4 linked regions of the Diceros bicornis minor genome follow. Each later gene encodes a partner of the first gene's protein in a complex. Links are inferred from orthologs where the notes say so. Each region holds a gene or a part of one and is shown in the gene's direction. Other genes may lie near its edges. The genes, in order: CDK2AP1, CHD5, MTA2 and MTA3.

Region 1 (7,718 bases):
CTAGAATAGTGCCTGACACTTTGGAAGACTCTCAATAAATATTTGTTGAATAAAGGAGAAAACTCATGACCTTCTCAACAGATGCAGAAAAAGCATTTGACAAAATCCAACTCTCTTTCATGCTAGAACAACAAACTGGAGGAATGGAGGGGAACTTCCTCAACTTCATAAAGGGCATCGATGAAAAGCCCACAGTTTACATCAAACATAGTGGTGAAAAACAAATCTTTCCCCCCTTTAAGATCAGGAACAAGACAAGGATGCCTGCTCTCACCAGTTCTATCCAACAGTGTCCTCGAGGCTCCAGTCATGGCAGTTAGGCGAGAAAGAGGAATAAAGACATCCCATTTGGGAGGGAAGAGTAAAACTATTTGCAAATAATATGATCTCACTACAGAAAGCCCTAAAGAATTTACGTACAGACACAAAAAAACTACTAGAGCTAATAAGTGAGTTCAGGAAAGTTGCAGGATATAAGACAATATACAAAAATCAGTTGTATTTCTATACACTAACAATGAACAATCCAAAAATTAAGAAAACAATTCTACTTACAATTGCACCAAAAATAATGAAATACTTGGGAATAAATTTAACCAAAGAAGTATAAGACTTCTACACTGAAAACTATAAAACATTGTTGAATTAAAGAAATAAGACCTAAATAAATGGAAAGACATCCTGCGTTTGTGGATTGGAAGACAGCATGCAGTTAAGGTGGCAATACTCCCTGAATTGATGCACAGATTTAATATGAGCTCTATTAAAATTCCAGTTGCCTTTTTTTTTTTTGCAAAAATGGACAAGCTGATCATAAAACTCATAGGGAGATGCAAGGGACCCAGAATAACCAAAACAATCTTGAAAAAGAAAAAGTTGGAGCACTCACACTTTCTGAATTCAAAGCTCACTACAAAGCCACAGTAATCAAAGCAGTGTGTTGTGGCATAAGGATAGACAGATAGATCAATGGAATAGAATTGAAAGTCCAGGAATAAACCCTCATATTCACCATCAAATTGATTTTCAACAAAGGTGTGGGACCCATTCAATGGGGAAAGAATAGTTTTTTCTTTTTCTTTTTCCCCCTTTTTCTCCCCCAAGCCCCAGTAGATAGTTGTATGTCATAGCTGCACATCCCTCTAGTCGCTGTATGTGGGACGCGGCCTCAGCATGGCCAGAGAAGCAGTGCGTCGGTGCGTGCCTGGGATCCGAACCGGGGCTGCCAGTAGCAGAGCGTGCGCACTTAACCGCTAAGCCACGGGCAGGCCCCCAAGAATAGTCTTTTCAAGAAATGGTGCTGGGACAGCTGGATATCCACATGCAAAGCATGAATTTGGACCTACCTCACCTCATACACAAAAATTAACTAAAAATGGATCAAAGACCAAAACGTAAGAACAAAAACTATAAAAACTCTTCAAAGAAAAAACAGGTAAAAATCTTCGTGACCTTGGATTAGATATGATACCAAAAGCACAAACAAACAAAAGAAAAAAGTTGAACTTAAGCAAAATTTAAAACTTGTATGTGTCAAAGGGCACTATCAAGAAAATGAAAAGGCAACTCAGAATGGGAGAAAATATTTGCAAATTATGTATCTGTGAACAGACTAGTATCCAGAATAAAGAACTCTTACAACTTAACGTTAAAAAAAAAACTCAATTAGGAGGCTGGCCCAGTGGTGTAGGGGTTAAGTTCTCGAGCTTCTCTTTGGCGGCCTGGGGTTCGCAGGTTCAGATCCCGGGCGCGCACCGACGCATTGCTTATCAAGCCATGCTGTCGTGGCGTCCCATATAAAGTAGAGGAAGATGGGCATGGATGTTAGCCCAGGGCCAATCTTCCTCAGCAAAAAGAGAAGGATTGGTAACGGATGTTAGCTCAGGCTAATCTTCCTCACCAAAAAAAGCAACAACAAAAAAATTCAATTAAAAAAGGGTAAAGGATTGAAATAGACATTTCTCCAAAAAAGATATACAAATTGCCAGTAAGCACATGGAAAGATGCTCAATATCATTATCCATTAAAGAAAGGCAAATCAAAACCAGTTCACACCCACTAGGATGCCTAAAACAAAAAAGCCAGATAATAAAAGGCTTGCTGAGGATATGAAGAAATTAGAACTCTTATACACTGCTAGTGGGAATGCAAAATGGTGCAGCCAGGAAGGAAAGTAATTTGGTAGTTCCTCAAAAAGTTACACATAGAGGGGGCCGGCCCGGCCCCGTGGCTTAGCAGTTAAGTGCGCGCTCTCCACTGCTGGCGGCCCGGGTTCGGATCCCGGGCGTGCACCGACGCACCGCTTCTCTGGCCATGCTGAGGCCGCGTCCCACATACAGCAGCTAGAAGGATGTGCAGCTATGACATACAACTATCTACTGGGGCTTTGGGGGGAAAATAAAATTAAAAAAAAAAAAAAGTTACACATAGAGTTACCATATGACCCAGCAATTCCACTCCTGGGTATATACCACAAAGAACTGAAAACATGTTCACACAAAAACTTGTACATAAATGTTCATAGCAGCTCTATCCATAATAATCAAAAAATAGAAACAACTCAAATGTCCATCAAGATGGATAAACAGAATGTGGTCTCTCCATACAGTGGAATATGATTCAGCCATAGAAAGGAATGAAGTACTGATACATGCTACAACATGGATGAACCTTGAAAACATTATGCTGAGTGAAAGAAGCCAGACACAAAAGGTCACATATTGTAGGATTCCATTTATATGAAATGTCCAGACTATGCACATACATAGAGACAGAAAAGTAGATTAGCGGTTGCGTAAAGCTGCAGGTAGTGGGGAATGAGAAATGACTGCTATTGGGTATGGAGTTTCTTTTTGGGGTGACAGAAATGTTCTAGAATTAGATAGTGGTGGTGGTTGCACAACTCTGTGAATATACTAAAACCCACTGAATTGTATACTTTAAAAGGATGAATTTTATGCTAAAGGAATTATATCTCAATTAAAAACAAAAGGAAAAAATTTTTTTCAGTGATAATCGGGACTTAAAGTGAGGGGGATGGGCGATGTGGTAAAAAATGCAGTATTGAAAGAGAATAGCCTGGAAAATTCATAGAAGGGATCAGCGCAGGCCACTGAGATCTGGATTCTTGCCCCAAGGAAACAGAGGCCTAGTCAAACAGCTAACAGGTGGTGGAGGCAGAATTAGTACCCAGGTGTGTCTGTCTTATGAGCCCCCTGCTTGTAGCTTGTAGCCCTGCACTGTCCAATAGGAAGCTGCTAGCTATTGTGGCCACTGAGCGCGTGACATGTGGCTGGTCTGAATTAAGGTAAGCTGTGAGTGTCAAATACACGCTGGGTTTTGAAGACTTAGTACCATAAAAAGAACATAAAGTATCTTAATAATTTCTTTATATTCATTACATATTGAAATCATACTGTTCTGGATATATTGTTAAATAAAATATATTATTAAGATGAATTTCACCAGTTTCTTTTTACTTTCTAAAATGTGACTACTAAAAAACTTTAAATTACATATGTGGCTTGTAATATATTTCTGCTGGACAATGCTGCTCTAGAGTATTGGGCCCCTGGAGGCAGGGTAGAAAGGGGTGTCATTAATTTATTCAAGAAATGAAATTTCACTGGGCACTCTTGGCTGAGCTAGCCTAAAGCTGATCACCAGAGGTGCTCGTTAAGCTGGGGAGGGGGTGTCACTTGCACCTTCCATCGGAAGGGAAGGCATGGGTGGTATCCCTTCTCTCCTGGGCGGAGAGGTTGACGCCCTCCTCAGTAGATCCAGATGTGTCTGAATGTCTCTAATTTAAACATCTGCAAAGCATGGCAATTAAAAACGGCAGAAAAGGGTGGGTATCTTGTAGTTTGACGAGCTTTACTATTTAAGCAGAACTCCAAGAAGCAGTACCTTCAAAAGCTTAGTCATCTAATCCAAAATGTTTGATGATTGCGCTTCAGGCAGATCTGAGGATGGGCTGGGGTGGGGTCGAGGGAGGGTTAAAAATTATAATGCCAACTCCAGGAGAGTAGAAACTTTGCCAAGTTCATTCTTGTGTCCTTAGCGCCTGGAACCCTGCCGGCACACAGTAGGCGCTTCTTAAATATTTGAATGAGTTAAGATGCAAAACTATGTGGATGCGAGGGTGAATTTTGCAGGGGAGGAGGCCCCTCACTTTTGTCAGTGTCAAGGGAGTCTAGGCCCCCAAAGGGTTAAAAACCACTGAACACAGACAGGGACATGAAATTTATTTGAAATCAATGTCAAGAATTGGTTGCTCTTCTTCTGGGGAGTAGCCAGACCTCGGCGTCTGGAATGATCTATGTGCTTAAAAATACCACTCGCCACCATTTTCTCCAGGTAATTTTCCATCCCTGCCCCCACAATCAAGGGGAAAAAAAGTAATTCTGCAATCCTACCGAGCTATTAAAAAAAAAAAATTAAGCGGTAAAATAGCAAATCTCCCGGCGCTGAAAGCGAGGAGGAAGCAAGGGACCCACGCGGGCCTCGGGCGCCGCCGGGACCCCAGCCCCCCAAACTTTGCCAAGTTGCGGGCGCCGAGCGCGCCCGGAGGCGCGGGGCGCGGCCGCGGGCGGAGCCACCCCCTGACGCCGGGCCGCGGCGCGCCGGGCCGCCCCCTCCCGGCCCGGGCCGGCCCCGCTGGCTCCGCTCAAAGTTTGCGGCCGCCCCTGCGCCCGCGCGCCCGCCCGATGTATGGGTGATATACTGCAGCGGGTGTCAGGGTGAGGGACGGCCATATTTGCCGGTGCGGCCCGAGCCGTCAACAACAAAAAGTGCGCGGGAGCTCGGCGGGCGCACGGACGGGCGCACGGACGCCGGGGCCGCCTCGCCGCCGCCCGGCCTCGCCGCCGCCGCCGCCCTCGCGGGCCTGGCCCCGCTGCGCCCCGGCGCGCCCCGCCGCTCGGGGGGATGTCTTACAAACCGAACTTGACCGCGCACATGCCCGCCGCCTCCCTCAACGCCGGTGAGTGGGTGCGCCCCGCGGGCCGCGCGCGCCGCGCCCCAAGTGCCGCCAAGTTGGAGGCCCGCGCGCCTGGCCCCGGCCCCGGCTCCCGGGGGCCCGCGGCGGCTGGGGGCGGCGGGCACCGGGTCCCGGCCCGGGGCAGCGCGGCCGCCGCCGCCGCCGCCATGATTCCAGCGCCCGCGCCGCCAAAGTTCGCGGGTGCGCCCCGCGCCGCGGTGGGCCGGGGCCAGCGCCGGGGCTCGGGGCGCGGGCGGCCCCCGCCGTCCCCCCCACGCCGGCGGCCGAGGGCTCGCGGGGAGCGCGGCGGGCGAGGGCGGGGGAGGCTTTTCTCTGCTCCTTTTTCCTCCGGCTTTTGGGCGGCTCGGCGAGGGCCCCTGCCGGCGGGAGTGGGGAGCAGCCGGGCCGCGCCGGGAGCAGGGCACGGGGCGCGGGGCGCGGGGCTCGGGGCTCGGGCTGCCCTTGGGGCGCCGGGGGCAGGCCCGGCGGGGGGCCCGGCTGCAGGGGTGCACGTGTGCAGGACCAGGGCACGCGTAGGCAGGGCTGGGGGGCGGCGGCGTGCCAGGTGCAGCGGCTCCTGAGGGCGCGGGGTGGCTGGGGTCACCGGCGGTGCAGGGCACTGGCTCGTCCGTGGGGCTCGGCCTGGCGCGCGGGAGCGGGGGTCCCAGAACAGGGCACAAGGGAGGACCCCGCAGGCGTGCGCAGAGTGAAAGCAGTTGGAGAAGACCGGGGGCTTCTGAGTGCCTGCGGGCGGTGAATGGGGGCTGCACTTCAGCCCGGGCCCCGCATCGCGGAGCCCCCAGTCTGGACCTAGAAGGCCCCCTCCTGCAGAAGCCGGGGGGCCATCCTCTCCCCTCGGGGCTGGAGCGGGGCGGTCTCCGGAAACTCCTTCAAAAGTTGCTCGGCAGCTTCAGGCTGTGCCCAGGGGCTTGCCCCAGGGACCGAGGGAGACATCGGGGGGGAGGTAAAATCGTGGAGTTCAGGGGTAACCGGCTTTGTCTGCTCACCAGGGTCCTTCTCCTTTAGACACTTGGTTGGAAACAGACTTGCAAAAAAGTGAGGCGCGTTGGGGGTGGGGGGGGCAGAGGCCTTGGGGAGGGGATTGGCCTTGTTGGTCAGAAATGCCACGTTGGCAGTTGGCCGCAAGTTTGGGGCCTTGTCTCCAAACGTTGACTCCGTAACTCCAAAAATCTGAAGAGGGACCCAGAAAAGCCATATGTATATGTGTGTGTGTGTGTGTGTGTGTGTATACACACACACACACACACACATATATTTTTTAACTTCTTGGACACAGATTTGGGGATTGGAAGGGTTAAGATTCAGGGTGCGGATGGGGGGATAGTTGAATTGGTCAGATGTGGGCTCTGAACCCCAAGAGCAAACAGCCACTGTTTTCTCTGATGTCCCCACCTCCTCTGGGGTCTGCAGACCTCACCAAGACAGGCTTTGTGGCCAGGTAGGATTCTCGATGCCTCCTGCATCTGTCTCTGAGGTGGGAGGGGTGGAGGTCTGGCTGCCTGCCTGGACAGAGGGGAACTCGCAGGCCTGCCCTGGTATAGTTGGGGCAAGAGCCCTAAACTGGGACCTTTGGGGATTGGGGTCACAGAGTGACAGGGGCACCCACTCAGAACCCCTGAAGCCCTGTTCTAGTCTGGCTAGCACCTGTACACAGGTTTTCTTCTTTCTCCTGTGGTGAATTCCAGGAGCAGTGCTGAGGTCCCCAGATCTCTGGTGTTTTTTTGGGGGGGTCTTCCCCCCTCCCCGTGGACCCCTTAGGAAGCCCTGATCTCCCCCTGCCATTTGCATCCAAGATGGACTCTCCGCAGCCGCTCCTCCGGCTTCCTTGTCATCATCCCTCACGCCCTCCAGCCCTGCCTCCTGCTCACGGGTTGCCAAGCCGCGGCCTGGCCGGCGGTGGCAGTGGCTGAGTTAGACAAAGCCCCCGCCTCCCTGCCGGAGAGCGCCCCCCCAGGCGCCCCAAGTGGCGGGAAGGCCGCCAGCTCCCCAGGCCCAGGCCGCTCTTTGTCTGGCGTGGGGGCGGGGAGCTGCGCCTGGCCCCAGGAGCTGCTGGCCTCTGCCAATCCCTCCCTCGGCTCCAGGCCCTCCCTGGTCCCCGCACACTGCACGCATTGTCTGCGATGCTCCAAGAAGGCCATGCTCACACCCAGTCTGGCTTTCTCCCTGGCCTCCTGCAGCCCGACCCGCTGGCCCTCCCTGTGCCTGCAGGAAGGAGTGGGCACGAGTGGAACTCGGGGCCCTTCTGCCAACTCTCTCCAGGACCACAGACACCCCCCTCTCAACACAGAGTAACGGATGGGCACTGGCACAGAACCGGGGTCTCCCACCACGTCACCCAGGTGCCTGAGCTGTTGCCCAGCTCCTCCCCCACCCCAAACCAGGCGATTTCTCATTCCTCGACCCTCTCCCTTAGCCCCCCAAGACCTAACCCCAGCACCATGTAAGAGCAGGATCTGGAGCCTTTGGGCATTCTGCTGGGAACGTTGCCTCAAACAGATGGAGAAACTGAGGCCCAGAGAGGGAAGGGCCTTGTCTAAGGTCTCACAGCCAGGTGTGTCAGGCTCAGCCAGACCAGCCCCTAGTCCAGGCCTGTGCCCATAGGAGAGGAGACGGGTCAGGGAGGCGGGAACTCAGTAAAGAGAGCAACCAGAGGAGGAGGACTCACCTCCTGCCAGGGAGTGAAATCTTCCAGACACAGTGAAGTGCAGTGCAGTGATAC
Region 2 (7,065 bases), on another chromosome or scaffold:
CTCTTTTCTAAGTCATGTCATCCTCTTAGCTCTTCAGGAAGAGGTCCTAACTGTTCACCAGTGGTGCCTAGCACAGGTGTTGAGAAACATTTGTGTCAGAAACGGAGGAAAGTGGCGGAGTTTAATCATATCAAATATTTAAGAGGGTCAAAATTACAGAATGTTCTGGGGTATTTAGACCTCAGCCTTTTTAGGGGACATGATTTCTTGGAGGGTGAGCAGGACCCCAGTGAGCGGTGACGGGTCCTTGGTCAAGTCGCTCGTAGCCTCAGGAGAGCCTGCAAGTTGGCTTTGGCAGCTTGCTTTCATTTCCTTCCTCTTGCTGCCAGGTCCTTGTGACTTCTGGTGACCCCCGCCACCTTATCGAGTGCTGGAAGCAGACCGGTGCTTGGCCCCTCCCTGTGAGGGGCACACACACCTAGGATGTGGGGTCCTGACGAGACAACCACAGATTTGGCAGGACCAAGCAGACAGACCTGCCTTTCGATAAACTCAGAACACGGGGCTGGCAGGGGTCAGAAGCCACCCCGAGGGAAAAGGACCTGGGTAGTCTCCTGCTGGAGGTGTTGGCTGAATCCCGGTAATGGGCCTCTGTTCTTTGCGGTAATACGCTGTGGAGGTCACTTCTCTTTCTGGAGGGAGAGGAAGGTAGGAAAGAGGCCTGTTTGGGGGATTTGCCATCTTAGCAAGGAGGTGGTGTGGAAGGAGGCAGGTGGAGGGCTGCCTCTTAAATGATGCCATAATGGTGTTTATCTCAGGGAAGAAAAATTAAGAATTTGTAATCCAGACATTTTCCTATCTTTCCTATATTTGGGAGGATTTGAGAATCCACATTCTTTTTTCTAGGCTATTTCAGGCCTTCCTAAAACTGTTAAGGCTGCGCTGACCAGCTGAGTGAGTTAGCTGCTACCACAGTTCCCAGAAAGAACCTCTAAGATGCTTTAATTGAAGTCAAGTACTTCGCTTCAGGGCCATGGCCAGGAGTCTGCCTTTTTGAGAAGCCCCTCCCCCCATTCCCAGCAACCGGAAGAGATTTGGATTCAGGTGGGGCATGGCCCTTGCTTTGAGAAACAGGCTTCAAGTACAAGGGAGGTCTTGGTGGGCAGGGGGCGCTCACCCTTCATTTCAGAGGACCCTGCAACCATGCGAGTGACAGTCTCCCCCATCTCCGATGAGAGGCTGCAGAGTTTTCACCCCAGGGCACTGGCTGGGAGGGGTGTAGGAACAAGCACTTCACTGCAGAAGCCTAGGGTCATGTCAGGGCCATCAGGTGGCCACACTGGGATATATTGCTAAAGGAACCGGCCTCAGGCAGGACTTAAGGGGTGCCTGTGTGACAGATTCCGGAGTTGAGTGGGGTATGTGCTGAAGATACCAGCTATTGCAGCCCTGTTCTCGGAAAACCCTTTTTTCCTTGGTGCTTTCATAACCAATATATTTTTTAAAAATATTTTGATTTTGAATTGTCACTGAGGTGAAATTACAAGGTCTGTGCTCAGCAAGCATGAGAATCTTGTCTCCTAAAACTCTAACCTTAATGATAGACTTGTTCTCGGAATTGCAGAGTTTGTTGAATTTTTATCTTTTTAGGGATTGCTTTCAACATCAGGCATTTGGGGGTCCATTGTCATTAAAGTGCACATTTAATAGTTTAACAGTTCTCCTTTAAATACTGGTGGAAATTTCTAGTCAAAAATCCATTTGTTTCTGCCATTCCAGGGTTGGTTTTGTTTCGTTTGTGGTCAGTAAGTCATGTCACCTGGCCACAGCCACCGGCAAGAACAAGGATGGGGAGAGGAGTATGAGTGATGAGCATCTCAACTCTAATTTGTTGCCAAATTAAGCAGCTGGAACTGCTCTTTCTTGAGTGATGTCTTGCCTTTCTTAGCCTTGCCCTGGGAATTGGAGCCAAGGTTAATGGTGTGTGCGTGTGGTGGGGGGCTTTCTGGCGATGGGAAGTACTGTAAGTCACAGTTTCTCTAGAGTGGGACAGGGCACCTGTGCAAGTGTCTAGACCTCATCCCCCCATCTGGGAGGGGTTGGGGGCTGGGCTGGTAACTGAGAGGTGGGCATGCTTGGTGGCACTTAGAGTTTTTTCCTGGATGGTTGACATTTTGGAAGACAGAAAGTCCAGAAAGAGCAAGGCAGTCTTGCTGGTGAAAATGCAGGCCTCTCAGAGTGGCGGTGATTTGGGGCCCCTCAGCCAGAAGCCCAGTGATGTGAAGTACAGCCTTAGACGCGAGAAGCTCTCTGCTTTCTTAGTTCGCCTCCCTTTGCCCTTGTAGGCTGTCTGCCCTGGGCTGGTTCAACATCTCTCTATAATGTAGTTTAAAAGTGATCCAGGAGATGAAGGAGATTCCCAGCGCCCTGCACTGTGATCCTGGAGGCTGGACAGACCTGCTCTTGCCCAGCAATGAATGAAGAGGAGTTTTTTTGGGGGCTTGCTGGCAATTCATTTGGATGGGAAGGGGGAGGAAAAATTTGCTACACATCTTTCCAGCACTCTTGAGGCCATCCATCACCTTCTGATTACCTTGGACTCACTGTGGCTTGAGTTGTGGCAACCTCCCCAAGAGGTCTTGCATGAGGGCCCTGGCCAAGCAGGCGTGACTCTTTTGGTTCCCCAAAGGCCTCAGGAAAGGGAGAGCCCTTCTGGCGATACCAGTGTGGCATGGGTACTGGTGAACGCCACCTGGATGGGGCAGGTGCTCAGCCAAGACCTGAGGGATTGGTGCTAGACAGGAGGGAGATCTTCCCCTTGCTTCCTCTTGGCGTCCCAACTCAGGCAGATCCTGCGGGTCCCTGGCAGCCACGTGGTGCTCCAGCGCGGGGATCAGCCCGCTGCCCTTGAATGTGTCTGGCTGGAGGCAGTGAGGTGAGGGTACCCTCCCTTTATTGGCCATTCTAGGTTATTCTAGGTTAGTGCGCTGGCTATCCTGCCGGCCGCTGAAACTTTTGCGTTCTAAGAGTAGCTTTAAGACGTGCTGCAGCCGAGACTGGAGGCGCTCATTTAAAATTCCAGGCTCGCTCCCGAGGGCTCTGGGCTCCATCTTCACCTTTAACAACGGAGGGCTGGCGGCGGCTCCTCCCCGCTCCGCGACAGGTGTCGCTTCTGAGCGGGAGTTTTGGGCACAGAGAACGCAGATCTGCACCACCCCCAGGGGTCTGGATGTGTTTAAACTGGACCCAGCCTGGAGGGGCGTTTTGGAAGAGGGCACGTGGGCGGTGGGAGCCGGGTGCGAAGGGGTGAGGGAGGAGCCAGTCTGCACGGACTTTTCTGGGGGAATCAGACCCGCTGTCTCCAGAGCAGCCCTTCCTCAAGCGCGGAACACATTTTTCTTATAATCCTCTTTCGAAAGGTGATTAGAAGCGTGTTCAGACCGGAGCCGGGTGCGGGGAGGCGAGGGTCCCGGTGCGTGTGAGCGGAGTGTGGGGAGCTAGCTGCTCGCCGCCCCGAGGACCCCGCCTCCGCGCCCTTGGGGACCCCTGGGCCGAGCGCCTTCCGGGCGGGGGCGGCGGCAGGCTCTGCGTTTCCCCGCCTCCTTCTGGGCCCGGCTCGCCCGAGTCCCTGCTGCCTGCTCGGCCGTCGGGTCCCGGGGTGCGCCGGCGCCTCGACGGCTCCGCCGGCCGGAGCGCCCTGTCCCCCACCCTCCACCCGGCGGCTCAGGACTAGTCCCCCAACTTGTTCTCTGCTGTTAACTAGTCGCACTGCCGGAACGATGGGATGGGGTTGCCACAGCAACCAGACTGGACGTCACAATCCGGGCATGTGTGCCGCCCCCCCCGCCGTGCCGCCGGCGCTGCCGCCGCCACCCCCGGCCGGCTGCGGGACTCGGGCTGCGGGGCGCGGTGGGCGGAGCAGCCCGGGCGTTGCGGGGAGCAGGGCAAAGGCGGCCGAGAGGAAGGGGGTCGAGACGGAGGGGTGGAGGTTTGGGGGGGTGGGGGGGCAGGCGGCCGCCATCTTCTCGCCGAGGCCGCCTCGCCCGCCGCGCGCGCCCGTCAGGCAGCGCACGGGTTAAGGCTGGCACCGCGCCCGGCGGGAGGGGGGGCGCCCACCTCCCCTCCCCCCCGCGCCGGCTATGCGGGGCCCGCTGGGCACCGAGGAGGAGCTGCCGCGGCTGTTTGCGGACGAGATGGAGAACGAGGACGAGATGTCAGGTGAGCGGGGCGCCGGCTGCGTGCCGGGCCGGGGCGGCGGGGGGCGCGGGGACCGGCGGGACCCCGGGGCCGGACCGCGCGAGCGGCACTGGCAGCGTTCGGGAGGGGGCGCCCGGGCTGCGCTGCCGCCCTCCTGGCGCCGCGCAGCCAAGGGCGCGGGGTAGGCGAGCGCCAGGGCGCGGCACGCCGGCGGCCAAAGGCGGGGTGCGATCGGGGCCACCCTGGCCGCGGCGCGGGCCAGGCGCGGGCGGAGGACCGCGGGGGGGCCTGCGCTGGGCGCCCCGGGCGGGGAGGGGGCGCGGCGCCGCCGGGGTCAGCCCTCGTGCCCTTGAAGGGGGCGGGAATCGCGCTCGGCTTCTGGCGCCGCGCACCCCGCGCTGTGGCCCTACCGCCGGGCGCCTTTGGCCTTCCGGGGGCAGGCGGGACCCGGCCCCCGGTCCCTGGCCCATCTCGGCTCCAGGGCGTGCTGGGTGGGGCCCGGAGCAGGGCGAGGACGGGCCGTGCTTGGGGACCCGGCGAGGGCCCTGGCTGGGGCGGTTTCTCTTGGGCCCACGAGGGCTACAGGCCGGGGTGCGCGGGCTCGGACTCCCGCTCCCCTTCCCCGGCCGCTGAGTGCTGTGACCGCCGCTCCCAAGCACTTTGCCTGGGCCGCCGGCGTCGTGCTGGCACACCCTAGCGCCCGCCGCCGTCTCCAGCCTGAGACGGACCAAGGTAGTGGCGTTCCCAGCCTACTCCGCTTTGGCTATCGGTCTGAGCCCAGGGCCACCGCCCTTGCCCTTGCCATCCCTCTCAGAATTCAGCGTAAACAGGGCTTGTGTGTCAGGGGTAACCTTGCAGGATCATCCTTTAGTTAATTGCTCACCATTTGTTTGGGACGTTTCCCTTCCTGGCACAGCTGGGCAGGGCCTCACCCTGTCAACCAGCCTCCCTCCCTCCTTCTGGGGGACTGTGTTACTTCTCAGCTTCCCTGCACCAAATCTGTGGGCCCTCCTGGGCTCCTTAGAGACTTGTGGGAGATCCAGGGGCCCTCCCTGGCCCAGAAGTGTGCTGTCTGGTCTCAGGAGTGCCTTCCACAGGGGGGAGAATATTCCACAAATTGGCATCCCAACTCTTGTGTGCAGGAGGTGAGAAGGAGAGGACCCAGTGGGCAGCAGCTCCCCAGGCTGCTGGGTCTTCCCAGCTAGGGGATTCCCTCCAGGAGGCCAGGCCCAGGAGGGCCTCCTCCCCGCCACCCTTCAACTTGGTTGCTTGCTTTAAGGCTGTGATGGCCGCCCTGCAGGAGCCTGGCCTCACCCCATTTTTCAGACACCCTGCTTTTCAACTTTGCAAAGCTCCTGCTGGGGTGAGGGGAGTGGGGCTGAGGCGGCCCCACGTGGGTGGGGTTGCTTGGACAATAGTTGACTCTTACATATCCAGATCCAGGGAATCAGGCCCATTTCCCTGGAAGGGAACACAGAGGCCCAGCACAGGCATGGAAACCCGTGGCTATTTTCCACCCAGGAGGCTGGCTCCTCCCTAAGCCGTTCACTGCTTCCTCAGCAGGTGGTTTCCAGTGGTACTCTGGGCACGGCCCCTTTGTGGCACGATAGGGGCACTGGACATGCCTTCACAGGCTTATTCCAGAACTTCACCGGCCCCCTGATGGGGTCTCCTGTCCCTCTTTCCCACATACTCTGGCTCTCCCTAGTGGTGTCAGGGTGTGGAGCGTGGGGAGGGGAGGAGGCCAGGGAAAGTACCCCCAGGCTGATGGGCCCCCAACTCACCCTGTTTGGGCCAGAGGGCTTGGGTCTTGGTCAAAGTCACCTGCTCACCACCCATTCTCCCTCTCCCTCCTGCTTGTGCCCATTGCTCCGGGGCAGGGCAGGGTAGGGGTGAGGTTGTCCCCAGGGCCTCTAGGAATGCCCCCAAAGCCCTGCAGAGGAGGGCCATGCTCCGGCCACTCTGGCCTAGGGATTGCAGCCCCATCCTCAGCAAGACCAGATGCTCCACCTCCAGAGTGTGATCTGAGCCTTCTCAAGCTCCCAGCTCCTCTCCATGTGCCTGGTCCAAGCCACCGTCCCCTTCTGCTGGTCCACTCCAGAGGCTCCCAGCCAGTCCTCAATGACCAGCCTCCACTCAGCAGCCAGGTCACCTTTGTAAATCAGACCCAGACCCCCATGGCTTTGATTGACTGCAGAGCTCCTGCTCTGTCCCGCCCTCATCATCCCCACTCCCCCTTGTTCACCTACTGCAGCCACACTGGCCTCCTTGCTGCTTCTAGAACCCCCCAAAGCATCCTGCCGTTGAGCACTGGCTGTGACCTCTGCTGACCTGCTCTTTCCTCCGCTCACAGCTGCCTCCTTCCTGTGGTTTAGGTCCCAGCTCAAATGTCACCAAGGGGAGGCCCTCCTTGACCTCCTGGCTCAAGGGTGGCCCCACCCCTGTCGCCCTCAGACCCATCTTAATGCTGTATTTTCCTGGCAGCCTTTCCTATTACCTGGAATATTACCATCAGCCTACTTCTGTGTCGATGGGCTCCCCCTCGAGTGTACTCCCTTGGTCACCTGCCGTGCCTGGCACATGGTACCGTGGGTGCTCAGGAGATGGTTGTGGTCTCAGTGTCTGAGGGCTAGGAGTCTCTAGGTCACCACTGGCCCCCAGACACGATGACAGCCTCAGCCCAGGCCTTGTGTCTCTCCTGAAGTGCTAGCCAGCTGGCCCCCTAGCTCTCCATTGCAGCCGCTCTGCAGCCCTCGGCCTGTGTTCGAGGCTGTGACCCGACTGGACCTAGAGCCAGCAGGTTCCAAACCATCACAGTTTGCGGGCGGAGGAGCTAGTGTTTGGGAACTGTCGTGCTCATTTTTAAATCTGCAGCAGATTGCACTCGTTACTTGTCAAATCGACTTTCTTTTCACTCTGCCCCGTCTC
Region 3 (6,834 bases), on another chromosome or scaffold:
CCAGTGGGCCTGAATTTCTGCCACCACTCTGCAGATTCCTGAACACTTTGGGGCCGTGCGGGCCATTGCTGAGGGGCTGGGCTCTGAGCTGCTGGTGGGAACCACGAAGAATGCGTTGCTGAGGGGAGATCTGGCCCAGGGCTTCTCCCCTGTGATCCAGGTCGGGGGGCCAAGGGCTCGGGGAAGGAGGGAGGGTAGAGCTGTTGAGGAGGGGCAGAGGTGACAGCCCACGCTTTGCTACAGGGCCACACGGATGAGCTCTGGGGGCTCTGCACACATCCCTTCCAGAACCGTTTCCTTACCTGCGGCCATGACCGGCAGCTCTGCCTGTGGGATGGGGAGGGCCATGCGCTGGCCTGGAGCATTGACCTCAAGGTAGAGCCCTGTGTCCCTGGATCCCCAATGCCACACCCACCATGACTCCTGTGGCCACCAGTCCTTCCCCAACATCCCCTTACCTTCTGCTCTCCAGAGGCAGCCAGTTTGTAGTGGTATGGCTGTACTGGCTAAAACATTCATTCTTTGCTGATGCCTCCAGTGCCCCCTGGGCACTGCCCCCACCTCAACCCTCCAGACCACCCCTTGATCCAGCAACAAATGGGTAATCTCCAGCACAGCTACGGGCCTCAGTTCTGGTTGTTAAATATTTTGAGTATTACCCCCTGTTTAGGCTCCACTGACACCCTGCTTCCACCCCAGGTCTACTCGCCCTCTCCTCCCGTTTCCTCTTTGGGAGGAGGAGGCTTCGACGTTACCAAGATGACAAGGTGTCCCTCTTGGTTACCTCACTAGAAAGGCATCTTATTGAATTCACCTTCTCCCCTCTCCCAGGAGACTGGTCTCTGTGCTGACTTCCATCCCAGTGGGGCAGTTGTGGCTGTAGGACTGAACACGGGGAGGTGAGAGGGAGCCAGGACCCCTGGGAGGGGAAAGCAGGAGGTATGGGAAGGGTTCCTGGTAATGGCGGGGTGGAGGAGCGTGATTGCTGCCCGCTCAGGAGCCCCAACTGCACCTTCCTGCTCCTCAGTGCTTCTCGGTGCCGCCCAGGCCTCCCCTGCTCTCCTGTGGCAACTGTCATCACACCCTCCCCCAGCCACTCTCCTCTCCAAGCCTGGGAGTGGAGGAGGTGGCAGCTCAGGATAGAGAAGCAGTGGGGATGGGAGGGGCATAGGGGAGACTAACAGGCTTACAGGGAAGTGACAGGCGTATAGACTCCATAAGGACTTTGTCATTGGGCCCCTGTACTCCTTTCCCAGAGGACATCAGAAGCCCCTCAGCTTTTATCTGCCCTTAGCCCCCTCCCATTTCTCAGCATAAGAATGCAGTGGTGACCTCTCTGTCTACATCATGGTGTTTCTGTGGGTGTCCCTGAGGCTCTCCAACTTGCCAACTCCCACCCTGCCCAGGACGGGTATCCTCACACCTGCTCTCCGCCCCCCCCCCTTCTAGGTGGCTGGTTTTGGACACGGAAACCAGAGAGATCGTGTCCGATGTCACCGATGGCAATGAGCAGCTCTCAGTGGTCCGGTACAGCCCAGGTGGGAGCCACCCCTACCCTGGATCCAGACCCATCCCTGGTCCTTCCCTCTCTGAGTGACTGTCTTTGTAGATGGGTTGTACCTGGCCATCGGTTCCCATGACAACATGATCTACATCTATAGTGTTTCCAGTGATGGTGCCAAGTCCAGCCGCTTTGGCCGCTGTGTGGTGAGGAGGCTGGGGTGGAGGGTGGGGCATTGCCATAGCAGGTAAACTCCTCAAAGGGGTCAAATGCATTAAGTGGGGCCGAGGGATGGGAAATGGTGGCTACACTTTTAGTCTCTTGACCCTTGCTCCCAGGGTCACTCCAGCTTCATCACTCACCTTGACTGGTCCAAGGATGGGAATTTCATCATGTCCAATTCTGGGGACTATGAGATCCTTTACTGTGAGTGGCAGTAGGGGAGGGCATGGGGAGAGGGTAATTAGGGTGGGTTTTATTTGTGTGTGTGTGGGGCTCCTGGTTGGGAGGGGATGAAGGAGAATATGTGGGGAGCCCCAGGTGGAGGGGCTGTTACATAGGGAGGTGGAGATGGCATTGAAGGGGGGTTGGAGGTATACACATAGGAGAAATTTTGTGATTTGGAGAAAAAACCACACATAGAGTTTACACCATGTCTTGTTCCCACAAAGACTTGAGGGAGTTGAAAAATGCACTAAAAAGATTGTTTTGGAAAAGTTGCTCAGGGCAGGTGTGGAGGGATTGACTTATCTATGGACGAGGAACTGACAGAAGCTGTTAGGAAAACATCAGCGAGAACTCAGGAAGCACGTGGGGGGGCTGGGTTTTGCCCTGGGCTGGGGGCTACCGTGGCGACCAGATCACATGCCACCGCCTCAAGCCAGTGTTTCCTTCTGGGCATCTTCCCAACTGAGGGCAGGATGAGAGCTCAGCTGGGTGGGCTCCCTCTCCCCAGGGGACGTGGCTGGAGGCTGCAAGCTGCTGAGGAATCGCTATGAGAGCCGAGACCGGGAGTGGGCTACCTACACCTGCGTGCTGGGCTTCCACGTATACGGTGAGCAGGGGTGCAGGGGCGCGGAACACTGCGGGACGGCGGGGGGACAATGTGCAGCGCGCCCCAGGCTCGGAATGCTGGGTGTGTGTGGAGGGGTGGGTGGGGGTTGAGAAACTGGCAGAGCCAGCCCAGGAGGCCCCTCCGGCCCCGAGGAACCGGGAAGGATTGCCTGAAACGCGGCCGGTGGGTGGCCCCGCGGCTGCCTGAGCGCCGGAAACGGTGCAGCTGTGGGCCGTGGGTGGCGGCGGAGAGGAGGCCGGGCTGAGGCAAGGCGCTGTGCTAGGCGTGTGGCCGGACGGCTCGGATGGCACCGACATCAACTCCCTGTGCCGCTCCCACAACGAGCGCGTGGTGGCCGTGGCCGACGACTTCTGCAAAGTGCACCTCTTCCAATACCCGTGCGCGCGCGCCAAGGTGAGGCCTCCCGGGGCCTCCGGGGCCGGGCGGGCGGGCCCGGGGCTCCGTGGCCGTCGCAACTCCACCTTCCCTCCTGCCCAGGCGCCAAGCCTCGTGTACGGCGGCCACGGCAGCCACGTGACTAGCGTCCGGTTCACGCACGACGACTCGCACCTCGTCTCCCTGGGCGGCAAGGACGCCAGCATCTTCCAGTGGCGGGTGCTGGGCGCCGGGGGCGCGGGGCCGACGCCCGCCACCCCTTCTCGAACCCCGTCCCTGTCCCCCGCCTCCTCTCTCGACGTGTGACCGCCGCCTGACGGGACCCACCGGCCCTGCGACGTGGCCCCGCCCCACCCCAGTACCCCAGGACCAGGGGCCGACCCTTTCCTCGACTTCGAGACATTCCCGATCGCGCATTTCCCTGGAGGGGGAGAACGGCACTCCTGCACACACTGTATAGACCCGCTGGCTGAGCCGGGCAGCCCCAGCCTGGGCCCTGGCTCCCGCCGCCTGCTGAGGGGCAATAAACCAAAAGCAAAGTCACCTCCCAGTCCTTTTGTGGGGCGCGGCTGGGCGCCTCTGGGGCCCTACGGGGGTGGCGGTGAAGGAAAAGGGTAGTGCGGAAAGGGTAAGAGAGCGTAGACTATTCATGCAAATAACAGGCAAAGCTGCTTGCAAATAGCTTGGCGAACCGCAAAGGCGCGCGAGTCTTTCGGGCCGCAGGCGGAGCTGCAGGGCTCCGGCGAGGAGAGAGTTAAGCCCAACTCCTCTCTCGCTCTCGGAGGGGGGGCCGAGTTGCAACGGAAATAACCGAGCGCCGGGCCGCCGTTGGCCGGACGGAGCCGAACCTCTTCCGGAAGTAGCCGATCTGTGGGGTCTCGCTCTCCGACCTGAGCCGAGCGCCCGGCCTTGTTCTCCGGCTCGGCCGAAAGTGTTCCGGAAGGAGGCGAACCCCGAGGCGGGCAGGGCAAGCGTTCCCCGGGGCTGGCAGAGCCCAGCGTCTGGTGGGGCTTGGCGGGGGCGGGGGGAGCCGGAGCCTGGCTCCGGTCCGGCGGGAGCCGAGCTCGTTCCGGAAGAAGCCGAGCGGACCGGCGCCGGCCTCGGCGTCTGGGGCGTGAGGCGGTAGCGGCGGCGGCGACAGCGCGGGCCGGGATGAACCGCGACGGCTGAGGCGGCGGAGGTGCCGGCTGCGCGGACCCGACCGAGACTTCCGCGAAGTGCCAGCCCCGCGGTCGGGACTTCGCCTCCAGCCGAGCCCCGTCCCCGCGAGCCGCTCAGACCCCTTTGTGCGGCCGGAGGCGGCGGCGGGAACGGCCATGGCGGCCAACATGTACCGGGTGGGGGGTGAGTACCGGGCGCAGGGGCTGCGGGGCCCGGACGGGAGAGGTCGGGGTCGGGACCGGGGAGGCTCGGCACCCAGCGGCGCGGGAGCCGCGTCTGGGGCGGCGTGGTCCCGAGCGCGGACCGGAACCGGAACCGGGAGCGCGGGGAGCGAGGGTGCGGGGACGGCGCCGCGGCCGGGCGCCGAGACTCGCGGAGAGGCTGGGGCCGCCCCGACGGTACTCGCGGGGCCGCGCCTGGGGCCACGGGGTCGGGGAGTGGGGCTGGGAAGGTGTTTCCGAGGGAGCTGACAGCGCGGGCAGGGGGCGCGAAGGGCCGGCGACCGCTCTGCCACCTGCGGGGGAGCCGCCGGGCGGTTTCCTCTCCCCAGGCGTTATTGTGCGCCTCGGTCGCAAAGGTGGGGGCGCTGAGCGAGAGGGAACAATTGCTCGCTTCGCCGAGACTGGGGTGCAACTCGATCTCCGAGTTGTGGGGACTGCAGGGGGAACCCTCTGCTTCTGGTCTGTTCATTAAGGCTCATTTTTGAGTGAAGGATCTGATTTTAGAACTAGGTGGCTAGGCGTCGGGGGCTGGCGTCGCTTATTAGACTCTCCACTTCCACATTTCAGCGCCCTCTCTACCTGGACTCTCATCGCCTTTTGGTCCACTCAGGCCTACTTTCTCTCCTCCTCCCCTGGTGCTCTGGCTCTCCCATCTCCTCCTCTGATCTTCCCGGTTCTTCCCCACCCCCTCCTACAGATTACGTCTATTTTGAGAACTCCTCCAGCAATCCTTACCTGGTTAGACGGATTGAGGAGCTCAACAAGGTGAGTGGAGCAGTCTCATCCTCCCCCGCAAGTGGTCTCTTTCTTCTGAGGTCTCTAACTGTGGGTGGAAGAGAGACAGAGAGAAAGAAAGAGGACCCTATTCTAAGTACCCATTCATATTCATTCATTCATTCATTCATTCGATGTATTCAGGAAAGGCTATTGAGAGCTTAGTGGGAACTTTACTTTTCTATTTCTTGGGGCCTAAGGAAAGGGATATGGAAGTCTGTCCTTAAATCTAAGTCTCCTTATTCATAATTTCTTGTGTTTTCCTACTTACATCCCTTAGAAACTTATTCACTGTTGTTAGTCTCTTTGTGCCTTTTCACTTTCAAATGACCAGTTTTCACTGCCATTTTTCCCCCTTAGACTGCAAATGGAAATGTGGAGGCAAAGGTTGTGTGCCTTTTCCGGCGAAGAGACATTTCTAGTAGCCTCAACAGCCTGGCTGATAGTAATGCCAGTGAGTGTCTTGGTACCCCCACCCCATCCCGGCCCCCCTTTCTCCCCCTCCCCGTGATCTGAGGCCAGGGCATGTCCCCGCAGGTGTTTCCCCTGGTAGAATGCCCAAGGCAGGGGTGTGAGTTTGGGGGTGGGAAATGCCTGGGCTGTGGAGGGAGGCCTGGAGGGAGGCTTGTTTTTACACGTTGGGGTTGGAAGCAGAGTGGAGAGACCATGATAAGAAAAGCCAGAATATGGCTTGTATGTGAGTGTGTATATATGAATGGTGTGTGTAAAGGAGATGATAGTATTTAAATAGGGGATGAGGAAGAGCTTTAGAGAAGAAGGACCCTTGGGGGACAGTTTTGGGTGTGTTGGAACAATGGGTGGTGACTGAAGGTCAAGGTGAAGAGGAAGAGATTGTACCTAGAAGCCTGCTTTACAGGAAAGCAGGCTTATTTTGTGATCACGAGATAGTGAGAATGCATTGAAGGCAGAGAAGAGGAAGCTAGGAAAGTTTTCTTGCACTTTTTCCTGTTTCTCATCTCTCCTGTTTTCCCTTCTACTCCATTTTACATCTTTATGTTTTCCCTTTGCCCAATCTTTCTTCTCATTATGCTTTCATGTTCTTTTAAAAAATTTATTTCCTTCAGTTTTCCTTAGTTTCTTTTTTCTTTCCCCTTCCTCTTGTTCCTTCTTCCTAAATTATTTTCCTTATTTCAGGCTGCTTTGGGCATGAAGGGGTTAATGAGGAGCTGGGCCTACCAAGTTCTCTGGCCCTCTGGGGTTTCCAGCCTCATCTGGCAGGGGCTGACCTTGGCCTTGTCCAATCAGAAGGGGTGTGGGGGGTGTGGTCCCCCTTGCTTTCGTACATGGTTTCCGGAGCATACAGTGAGGGGTGGAGCCTGCTGCACACCCCCCTTCTCCCTGAGGTTGGGAACAATGCACCAATGAGCCTTGGCCTGTGGCTCTTCTGCCCCCTCCCACTTTGGTTGGCGCCCAGCCAGGTTAACCCTTTGCACTGAGGTTTCAGGGCAAGCTGCAGCTCCTTGGGGAGGAAGGTGTTGGCACTGGCTTGAGAGGTACTATCCTTGAAAGCCCCCCACACAAACTATTATTAGCCAAATAAAAAGTGAGGGATAGTTAGGATTGCATGTGATGTTTAAGAGCAAAGAGTCTCCTGAAATCTGAAAAAAGGAACTGGTAAACACAACCTTGTGTGATATTTTGTCATCTTATTGACTTTCTGGACCTCAGGCTGGTTTGGCAAGAAAGAGACAAGTGTGATATTCTTA
Region 4 (7,964 bases), on another chromosome or scaffold:
CATTCAACCCCCTACACCATCTTAGAGGCAAGAGGGTGAGGTAGGAAATAGTCAGATTTGGTTTTTTAGGCTGTGTCCCTTCCCTTCTCCTCCTGTTCTTTTCCTCTTCCCTCCCCCACCTCACTCTGGCTGCTTTTCTAGAGCTGGGAGCAGAACTTGCTGAGAATTTTACTCCCTGGCTCTTAGGAGATGGTCAGCCCTGGGCATTCCCCCTTGTCTTTGCCATCTGTCTTGGTCAGTGACTTGTGTGGCTCGCTGCCCATGCCCTTCCTGTTTGCACATTTGGACCTGGACTCTGATCTCCTGAACCCAGACCTGCTAAACCTGTTTTCGCCCAAGCTGAAGGACTCAGGGAACCTGCTTCTTCCCCTGGGGCCAGGGTTTGGCATACTTCTTACACAAGACAGGCTGGGCTCTGTGCTGATGGTAATACAGAAGACGGTACTTCTAGCCCAGATGTCTCTCCTAAACTCCAGGCCTGTTCATCTACCTCTTTCCTAAAGAGGAAATACTTACCTGGATGTTTCCAAAGGCACCTTGAACATAACCCATCTAACACTAAACCTGTCAACTGTCCTTCCTCCCCCAGCTTGCCTCCCCTCCCATATTCTCTTCTTACTGAATTGTACCTCTCTCCACCCAGTTACTCATAACTTGGTACTACCCTTTCACTCTATGCCTCCCAAAAGTCACCAGAGCCTGTCGCTCCTACCTACTAAATCTCTCTCAAATCTATTTACTTCTCTCACACCCCACTGCCTCTACCCAAGTCAAGCCATCATCCCTCTCAACCAACCTCCCAACTGATCTCCTGGCCTGGATTCTCCACCCTCTCCAATCACTCTCTTTGCTGCAGCCTGAGTCATCCCTTCAACATCTCCCATTGCCCCTTAGGATTCTTGTTCCTAATCCCAAACCCTATACTGCCCGGCCATCTCATTCAAATCCACAGCACTCCATAGGCTAAAAAGGGAAGCACTAATGTCAATTAGATCAACCTTCTAGGGGTTCATCCCTGTCCCCCTTGTGACTTTCAGTCCCTTTTCCACTATCTGGAGGCTATGTTGTCACTAGAAAAGGAAACTCCTTGTGGATGCAACCAAATGGCTGAGCCAGCATGAGGGCATGAGGGGACCATGGAATCCTAAAAAACATACTGTAAAAACCAGGACATTCTGGGATTGGTCCTAGGTTTCATGTTTTTAGCCCAGGGGACGGAGGGAAGAAGAAGCTCCATGAACTGGGGAAGTTACGAACTCCTGACTCTTAATTTCCTTTGCCTTACGGGCTCCCTTGCTTTGATTCTTGCTGTCACGTGCCCACCTTTCTCCTGGGATACATTCATCCACCTTTAAAACCCATGACCTCCTTAGAATAGCTGAAACACGCTGTGGCTCTTTTCCAAAAGAATTTTACTAAATAACAAAATAAGTTAATGAAAGAAGAAAAAGAGAGAGAAACAAAACAGAAAACACAAGCTATAGTCTCTTATCCAAAGCCTGGCATTTGGTTTCAGATTAATTACATTCTAGACCCCCAGGCTCCTTTTGTGAGTTCAATATCACAAAGCTCCCAGACTCTGTGGCCAGCCCCATCTTTTTTTTTTTTTTTGCATGTATAAAAACTCCATCCTGAAATTGAAACAAAACCAACTTTTTATCTTATCAATAGCTCTCTTGCAGCATCTACTTCCCTTCAGCTAAATGGTGGGACACTGGTGGGACTGACACAGGGAACGTCCTGGGTCTTTAGGCAATCTCTAATCATGGTTCTTTAATCACAAGAGCCATCCCAGGAAATTTTACCCACGGGAGGGCTAGATTTGCCCTGATTTCTGACATGGTCTGAGAGACACTTCTTCCTTAGTAAGGAGGATGGCTGGAATAGAGAGAAGAGACCTATTAAGTATGAAGCTTTTAACATGTGCAAACACTTTATATATTTAATTATTAGCACAAGCCTTTGCTGTAGGTGTCAATCACTAGTCATATTTTGTAGAATTTGAGGCTCAGAGGGATTAAGTAACTTGCTCATGGTCTTAAAGCTAAATAGCCAAATTAGAGTGAAGTTTGGGCTGGTTGACAACAACTTTGTGATCTGAACCACACAGCATAAGGACATGAAGGTGCTTTTGCCTTCTTTGAAGGTGCAGGCTTTTCTACCCTCCCTTGTCAGATTGGAGGGTTTCTTTCAATCTACAAACATTTGCTGAACTCCCTTATGTGCATACCTCTTTGGTTTTATTTTATTTTATTTTTTTGTGAGGAAGATCAGCCTTGAGCTAACATCCATGCCAATCCTCCTCTTTTTGCTTAGGAAGACCGGCTCTGAGCTAACATCTATTGCCAATCCTCCTTTTTTTCCCCAAAGCCCCAGCAGATAGCTGTATGTCATAGTTGCACATCCTTCTAGTTGCTGTATGTGGGACGGCGGCCTCAGCATGGCTGGAGAGGCGGTGCGTCAGTGTGTACCCGGGATCCGAACCCCGGCTGCCAGTAGCAGAGCGCGTGCACTTGACCGCTAAGCCACGGTGCCGGCCCCTCCATACCCTTTTGGTTTTAGAAGGTATAAATGTTTCATAAACAAAGTCCTTGCATTTAACTCTGCACCTGATTCTCTAACTATACTGAGCCCACCATTCATGGGCACTTATTCTTTCTGATATTGAGCATCTGCTATGTAGAACACATTGGCCCAGGAGCTGGAGGTGGAAGAGGCTAACTAACTACACAGAATCTAGAGGAAGAAAGCGCCCCAGGTTCTGCCACCATCATTACCTCTGGCTCCTCCCCACCAAGTCTCTGAGGCCTTTCATGGGGGGCTTCTGGATGAGGCTGTTCCTAAGGGGAGGAGGTAGGTAGGGATGGGGGGCATTTTCTTGGCACCTTTTGCCTATTTATTGTGGTTAGTACAGCCATCACAAACACCTAGTAAGGTGCACAAAGCTGGGGAAATGAGACAGGCAGACAAGGAACTAACAGAAATACAGAAATATTTTGAAATAAAGAAATTGCTCATATATTTAAAAATAATGGGAAAACCCCTTAAAGCTTATGATCCATTCCTTTGCAGTTTATGGTATCCAGGTGGCTTTTTCACTTGGAGAAAGGCTTCCTGGTTTAAAGAATTCTAGGCCAGAGGAAAGGGCTGAATTATAATCCCAATACTGCTGCCAGTTTACTGATGACTCCAGGTGAATTATTCAACCTACTTATGTGTCAACTCAGAAATGGAGACAGTGATGTCAGATATGTCACAATATGTTTTTGGTGGGATCTCTAGTAAAAGGATTATGATAAACAACAACTATGCAGTGTGCATAACAGAACATTTTTGCTTTTTTCTCTGGGTCAAAAGAGCTAACTGATGCAGGCTCACAATTTGACACATGACATAAAACCCTTGAGAATCTGAACTTTCTGGAGTTAAAAAAAAAAAAGCAACAGACACCTGTTATTTGCATAGTGCTCTATGCTGAATGGTTTACAAAGCATTTTGAGATATTGTCACAACTGATCCTCACCCCACCTGTGAAGTGGAATTAGTGTCCCCATTTTATGGATGAGGAAATTTGGGTCACACACAGTCAATCAAGGTAATTCAAACAAAGGTGCTTTATTTCTTATTTTATTTTGTACTTTGCCTCAGCTTCATAGAAAATTATTTTTTTCACCTCAATAATTTGTGATAAGGGACCATCACAAATGCCATCACCATACAAACAAAATACAATCTTCTTTTCTAGGGACACCTGCCATCCCTGCACAGACCCCACACCCAGTGTCAACAACACATAGTTGTAAATCATCAGAAACTCCAAACAACGCACAACAACAATAAGGGATCATCTTCATGTTTAGTATACAACGTCTGGGAGTAGTTTAAAACGGATTGGCTTCTCTAAAGAAAGTTGTTTGTGTTCATTTGGGGGACAGCCAGCCAAGATTCAACTCTATTTGGTTTTTTATTTCTGTGAGGGTATGAAGGCTGAGAAAACAGGGATTGTTTAGAGAATTAGCATGGGAAAATAATAACTATTTAAAAGCTTTGGGCACATAACCAAGTTAACTGTCCAGCAATCAACAGCAAGCTGGTTGACACTATTTTCTCCTTTGGGGGGTGGTGGTGATGATGAACTGTAGGGCTCTGTTCCCCTATGGGCAAAGGAAGACCCCCCCCACCCCGTTTTCCTAGTAGGGCTGCACTGCATATAGGGCCTGTCTAGAGGCAAGGCCTCCAGCTGTAGGGGAGCGGGTTCTGTTCAGCCATTTGGGGTGAACGCTGATAGACATGGCACTGCAGTTAGGGTAGACTTGAAAGGGAGGCAGTTTTTCTAGCCTCCTCCCCAGCTGGGTCTCTGCCTGGGGAAGCTGGAAGCACCTGGGGCCCCCCTGGCCCCACTGTATTAACATCACCACGAGGAAGGCGCCCTGCGGCATGCACTTATTTGCATCCAAGTGTTTGCACCGAGACAGGCACTCACGTGCTCAAGGTCACACATACTGAGTCTCCCCAGGGACAGAAGCAGGGAGAAAGACCTGTCTCGGGGTGGGCAGGTGTCGGGGTACGCTGGGTGGGGCGGTAGGGGCTCCGGAGAGGCTGAGCTCTTGCCCCCAACCCAATTCTCTAATACCCCTGGTCCGCATTTCCGAGCGCGGGCCTCCGCTTCGGCCAGGACCCTTGCCCTAGGATCCCCCCCTTCCAGCAAGGCCCCCCAAACCGCCCCCCTCCCCAATTCCCTGCTGGCCCCGCAGCGCTCGGACTTCCCCGGGCCCGGCCCACTCGGCCTCGCTAGCCCGGCGCTGGGGGCGGGCACCTGCCCCCACCCCTCGCCGTCCCCTCCCCTCCACTTCCCCCTCCCCTCGTTCCCTCCCTCCCCTCCCCCACGTGGCGAGGCGGCGGCGGCGGCGGCAGCGGCGGCGGCCGAGGCTGAGGCGGCGGCGGCGGGCGGGGCTCGGCTCGGGCTCCGCGGGCGGGCGGGCGGACATGGCGGCCAACATGTACCGGGTCGGAGGTAGGAAGGCTCGGCCCGACCCGGCCCGTCTGGGAGCGGGCTCTGGGAGTGGGGGGTTGGGGCGAGTTCACCCTAACCGCAGGGAGCCACGGCGCCCAGGCTGAGGGCGCAGGGGAGGGGGGGCGCCGGGGCCCGCAGAGGGGGCCGGGGCTCCCCACCCCGCCACCCTGCACTCCCCCCTCCCCCTGCCCCCTTCCCCCCACCGTGGCCCGCAAGGGGCCTGGCCCACCCACACCCCCACACCCGCCCAGTGATTTAGGGCCAGGCCTGTACTTGGGGGTATGAATTATCAGACGCCCCCCTCCATGAAAGCCCCATGGGGGTAGGGGCCGTCGAGCCCCCTAATAGGGTGGTCTTTCCTGCGTGGCTTCTAGGCAGTGGGGGTTGGAGAGGATGGGGGACATCCCCCCATCTTGTACTCCTCTCCTTCAGTGGGAGTGTGGGGTGGGGGTGGGGGCGATGGGGGCCCAGCCAGGGGCACAGCTGGACAGGCCTGTTTGCGAGGACAGGGCCCTGCACCTCTCCTTCCTCACTCTCTCTTCCGTTTCTTATCCAGCCCCCCAAGAATGGGGCTTAGTGGGGCCGGGGCACCGCAGCCGGAGGTGGGGAGTTGAGCTCTGCCTGGACGTTTGCTCTCCTGTCTCCCTTCTTCTCAGCCTTCTGCAGAAGAGAGAAATAAGGTCAAACAAACTTTCTCCCTAGTCAGGACGCCCTCCTCCCTCTTTCTTGGTAGAATAATAATTCAGATAAGTGGCGTGTTTGTGTGTGAGACTTGCTCTTCCTTCTCTGCTCATTAGCTGAGCTCCTGATGGATGGTGGTGGGAATGGCCTGGCTAAATGAGGCCACTTTGCAGAAGAGAGACGGGAAAGAGCCACTAAGATAGACAATAACAATGCAGCCCAGCCTCTCAAATGCACAGTGGGAAGTTTCCAGTGAGCCTATTAGATGAGAGGAAAAGCTACACTTGAACATTTTTATCCTTTTTGTTGAAAATCTGCAGCGATTTCTTTATAACAAGACCCCAAATGGATCTGGATTAAATATGGTAAAAGAGTATTAAACAGATTCTGATGTCACTTCTAGAGAGCTCTGTCTCTCAGAAAGTGACTCCCCTTTCCCCCTTTTTTCCCCTCGTCTTCCTAGATAGAGCTGTGGAAAAGTTTGTCAGTGTGCTTCCTCTTACCTGCTCTGGTCACCTGATTTTTTTTTTTTTTTTCCGAAGTTGGTGATTGAAATGTACTTTGGGCTCCTAAGCCTTTCAAGATGCTCTGAGTCTGTCTTAGGTCAGTAGTTTTATGTGAGAAGCATACTCCAGGGCAAATTGGATTGGATGGAAAAGATGTGGAAGCAGTTACAGTATGAAAGACACATGTTTAGTCAGCCCTGACTACTCAATGATGATAAGAGGTGTCTTTTTGTTTGTTGTTAAAGAAATGACATGTGTGGGACAAAAGTCTAGGAGAACTTGATAAAACATTAATTGAAATGAAAATGCCAGGAAAACCAGAATCTGTGAATAGTGGGCACATAGGAGAATATTTTAAGGTTGCATTACTAAGTTTGCTTTTACCAGGGAATGAATTACATACTTCATTTTGAATGAGAATTGCCTAATATAAAAAGTCAGAGATTGACAAATGTGAACTTTTGTTGAAAAGATTAAGCTCTTTACTTCCTTAAATTGCAGATTATGTCTACTTTGAGAATTCCTCCAGCAACCCATACCTAATCAGAAGGATAGAAGAACTCAACAAGGTATACACTTAGTGTTCTTGATTCTAATATTAAAAAATATTTGTTTTCCATTGAAGGGTAATTGGGTAAAGGGCATTAGAAGTGATTTTACTTTCTGTCCCAGACTTTTTGAAAGTAGAGATTTCAGATTAGAGAGAGTTATGCAGAATTCTGAATATTCTTTTGCTTTTTATAATTACCTCTGATATTAAATGTTGTTATTTAACGTGTAGATTTCTTCAGATTGCTTAGAGCTTCTCAGAGCAAGTCACTCCTGTAACTCAGTCCCTTTTTATATTTAGAGTCATAATTTGTATTTCTCCCTTTTTAGTGAATTAATTTTTTCCTCTTCTAGCTTTAGAAGGAGGAAGCTAGGAAATATAATATTATTAAAGGGAATTTGTAAAATTCTGGACTAGACCAATAAGAATACAATTTTAGTTTAGTATAAAATGACTTCTACCTTAGGCCCAAGTAAATAAAACTCTTACATTAAAGTTTGTCCCTGATCACAAGTGTCCGGGACATTAGAAGCATTGTGACTGTTTGCAGTAGCTGAGCTTTTACAATGGAGGCACTCAAAAAGGGTCATAAATGACATGGACCATAGATTTCTTTCTTTTTTTTTTTTTTTTGTGAAGAAGATCAGCCCTGAGCTAACATCCATGCCAATCCTCCTCTTTTTGCTGAGGAGGACCTGCTCTGGGCTAACATCTATTGCCAATCCTCCTTTTTTTTCCCAAAGCCCCAGTAGATAGTTGTATGTCATAGTTGCACATCCCTCTAGTTGCTGTATGTGAGACGCGGCCTCAGCATGGCCGGAGAAGCGGTGCGTCGGTGTGCGCCCGGCATCCGGGCCCGGGCCGCCAGCAGCGGAGCACGCGCACTTAACCGCTAAGCCACGGGGCTGGCCCAAGACCATAGATTTCTAATGACGCTCTGGTTTCCTCCAAACCACCTTGAGGGTTATTTGTGTAGTTTATGAGAATTCATAGTGTTAAAATGTTTGGGGCTGTCTAGTTAATACCTTTCCCCCAAAATACCATCTGGAGACTGGTCCAGTTATAAGTCCTGGGAAGCCAGGTCTGGCCAAGGACATTCCTCACTTATGAGCCTTAAGATCTTGGTTTGCTTCTGGGGATACCCCAAGGACCTTGTATTTTAAAAACTTCTGTAGTATTTGAGACCATCACCAAATGAAGAGAATGACCTCAG

Evidence for each region.
Region 2: CDK2AP1 (region 1) and CHD5 share a complex: the UniProt entries of both Homo sapiens proteins name them as parts of the nucleosome remodeling and deacetylase (NuRD) repressor complex. The link is inferred for Diceros bicornis minor from reciprocal best matches to the Homo sapiens genes CDK2AP1 and CHD5.
Region 3: CDK2AP1 (region 1) and MTA2 share a complex: the UniProt entries of both Homo sapiens proteins name them as parts of the nucleosome remodeling and deacetylase (NuRD) repressor complex. The link is inferred for Diceros bicornis minor from reciprocal best matches to the Homo sapiens genes CDK2AP1 and MTA2.
Region 4: CDK2AP1 (region 1) and MTA3 share a complex: the UniProt entries of both Homo sapiens proteins name them as parts of the nucleosome remodeling and deacetylase (NuRD) repressor complex. The link is inferred for Diceros bicornis minor from reciprocal best matches to the Homo sapiens genes CDK2AP1 and MTA3.

The regions. Positions count from the first base shown.
Region 1 is NC_080774.1:7,096,331-7,104,048, forward strand, and holds the start of CDK2AP1 (cyclin-dependent kinase 2-associated protein 1), read left to right. Parts: upstream 1-4,705; 5' UTR 4,706-4,926; coding exon 4,927-4,981; intron 4,982-7,718. UniProt on the Homo sapiens protein: Inhibitor of cyclin-dependent kinase CDK2. Also acts as a component of the histone deacetylase NuRD complex which participates in the remodeling of chromatin.
Region 2 is NC_080752.1:26,264,530-26,271,594, reverse strand, and holds the start of CHD5 (chromodomain-helicase-DNA-binding protein 5), read left to right. Parts: upstream 1-4,058; 5' UTR 4,059-4,079; coding exon 4,080-4,158; intron 4,159-7,065. UniProt on the Homo sapiens protein: ATP-dependent chromatin-remodeling factor that binds DNA through histones and regulates gene transcription. May specifically recognize and bind trimethylated 'Lys-27' (H3K27me3) and non-methylated 'Lys-4' of histone H3.
Region 3 is NC_080770.1:10,491,987-10,498,820, forward strand, and holds the start of MTA2 (metastasis-associated protein MTA2), read left to right. Parts: upstream 1-3,818; 5' UTR 3,819-4,267; coding exon 4,268-4,295; intron 4,296-5,030; coding exon 5,031-5,098; intron 5,099-5,467; coding exon 5,468-5,561; intron 5,562-6,834. Other genes in the region: EML3 (echinoderm microtubule-associated protein-like 3), read left to right, coding at 35-160, 244-375, 832-899, 1,450-1,538, 1,610-1,707, 1,840-1,927, 2,457-2,555, 2,839-2,969 and 1 more. UniProt on the Homo sapiens protein: May function as a transcriptional coregulator. Acts as a component of the histone deacetylase NuRD complex which participates in the remodeling of chromatin.
Region 4 is NC_080751.1:42,198,912-42,206,875, reverse strand, and holds the start of MTA3 (metastasis-associated protein MTA3), read left to right. Parts: upstream 1-4,961; 5' UTR 4,962-4,986; coding exon 4,987-5,014; intron 5,015-6,234; exon of another isoform or gene 6,235-6,249; coding exon of another isoform or gene 6,250-6,298; intron 6,299-6,702; coding exon 6,703-6,770; intron 6,771-7,964. UniProt on the Homo sapiens protein: Acts as a component of the histone deacetylase NuRD complex which participates in the remodeling of chromatin.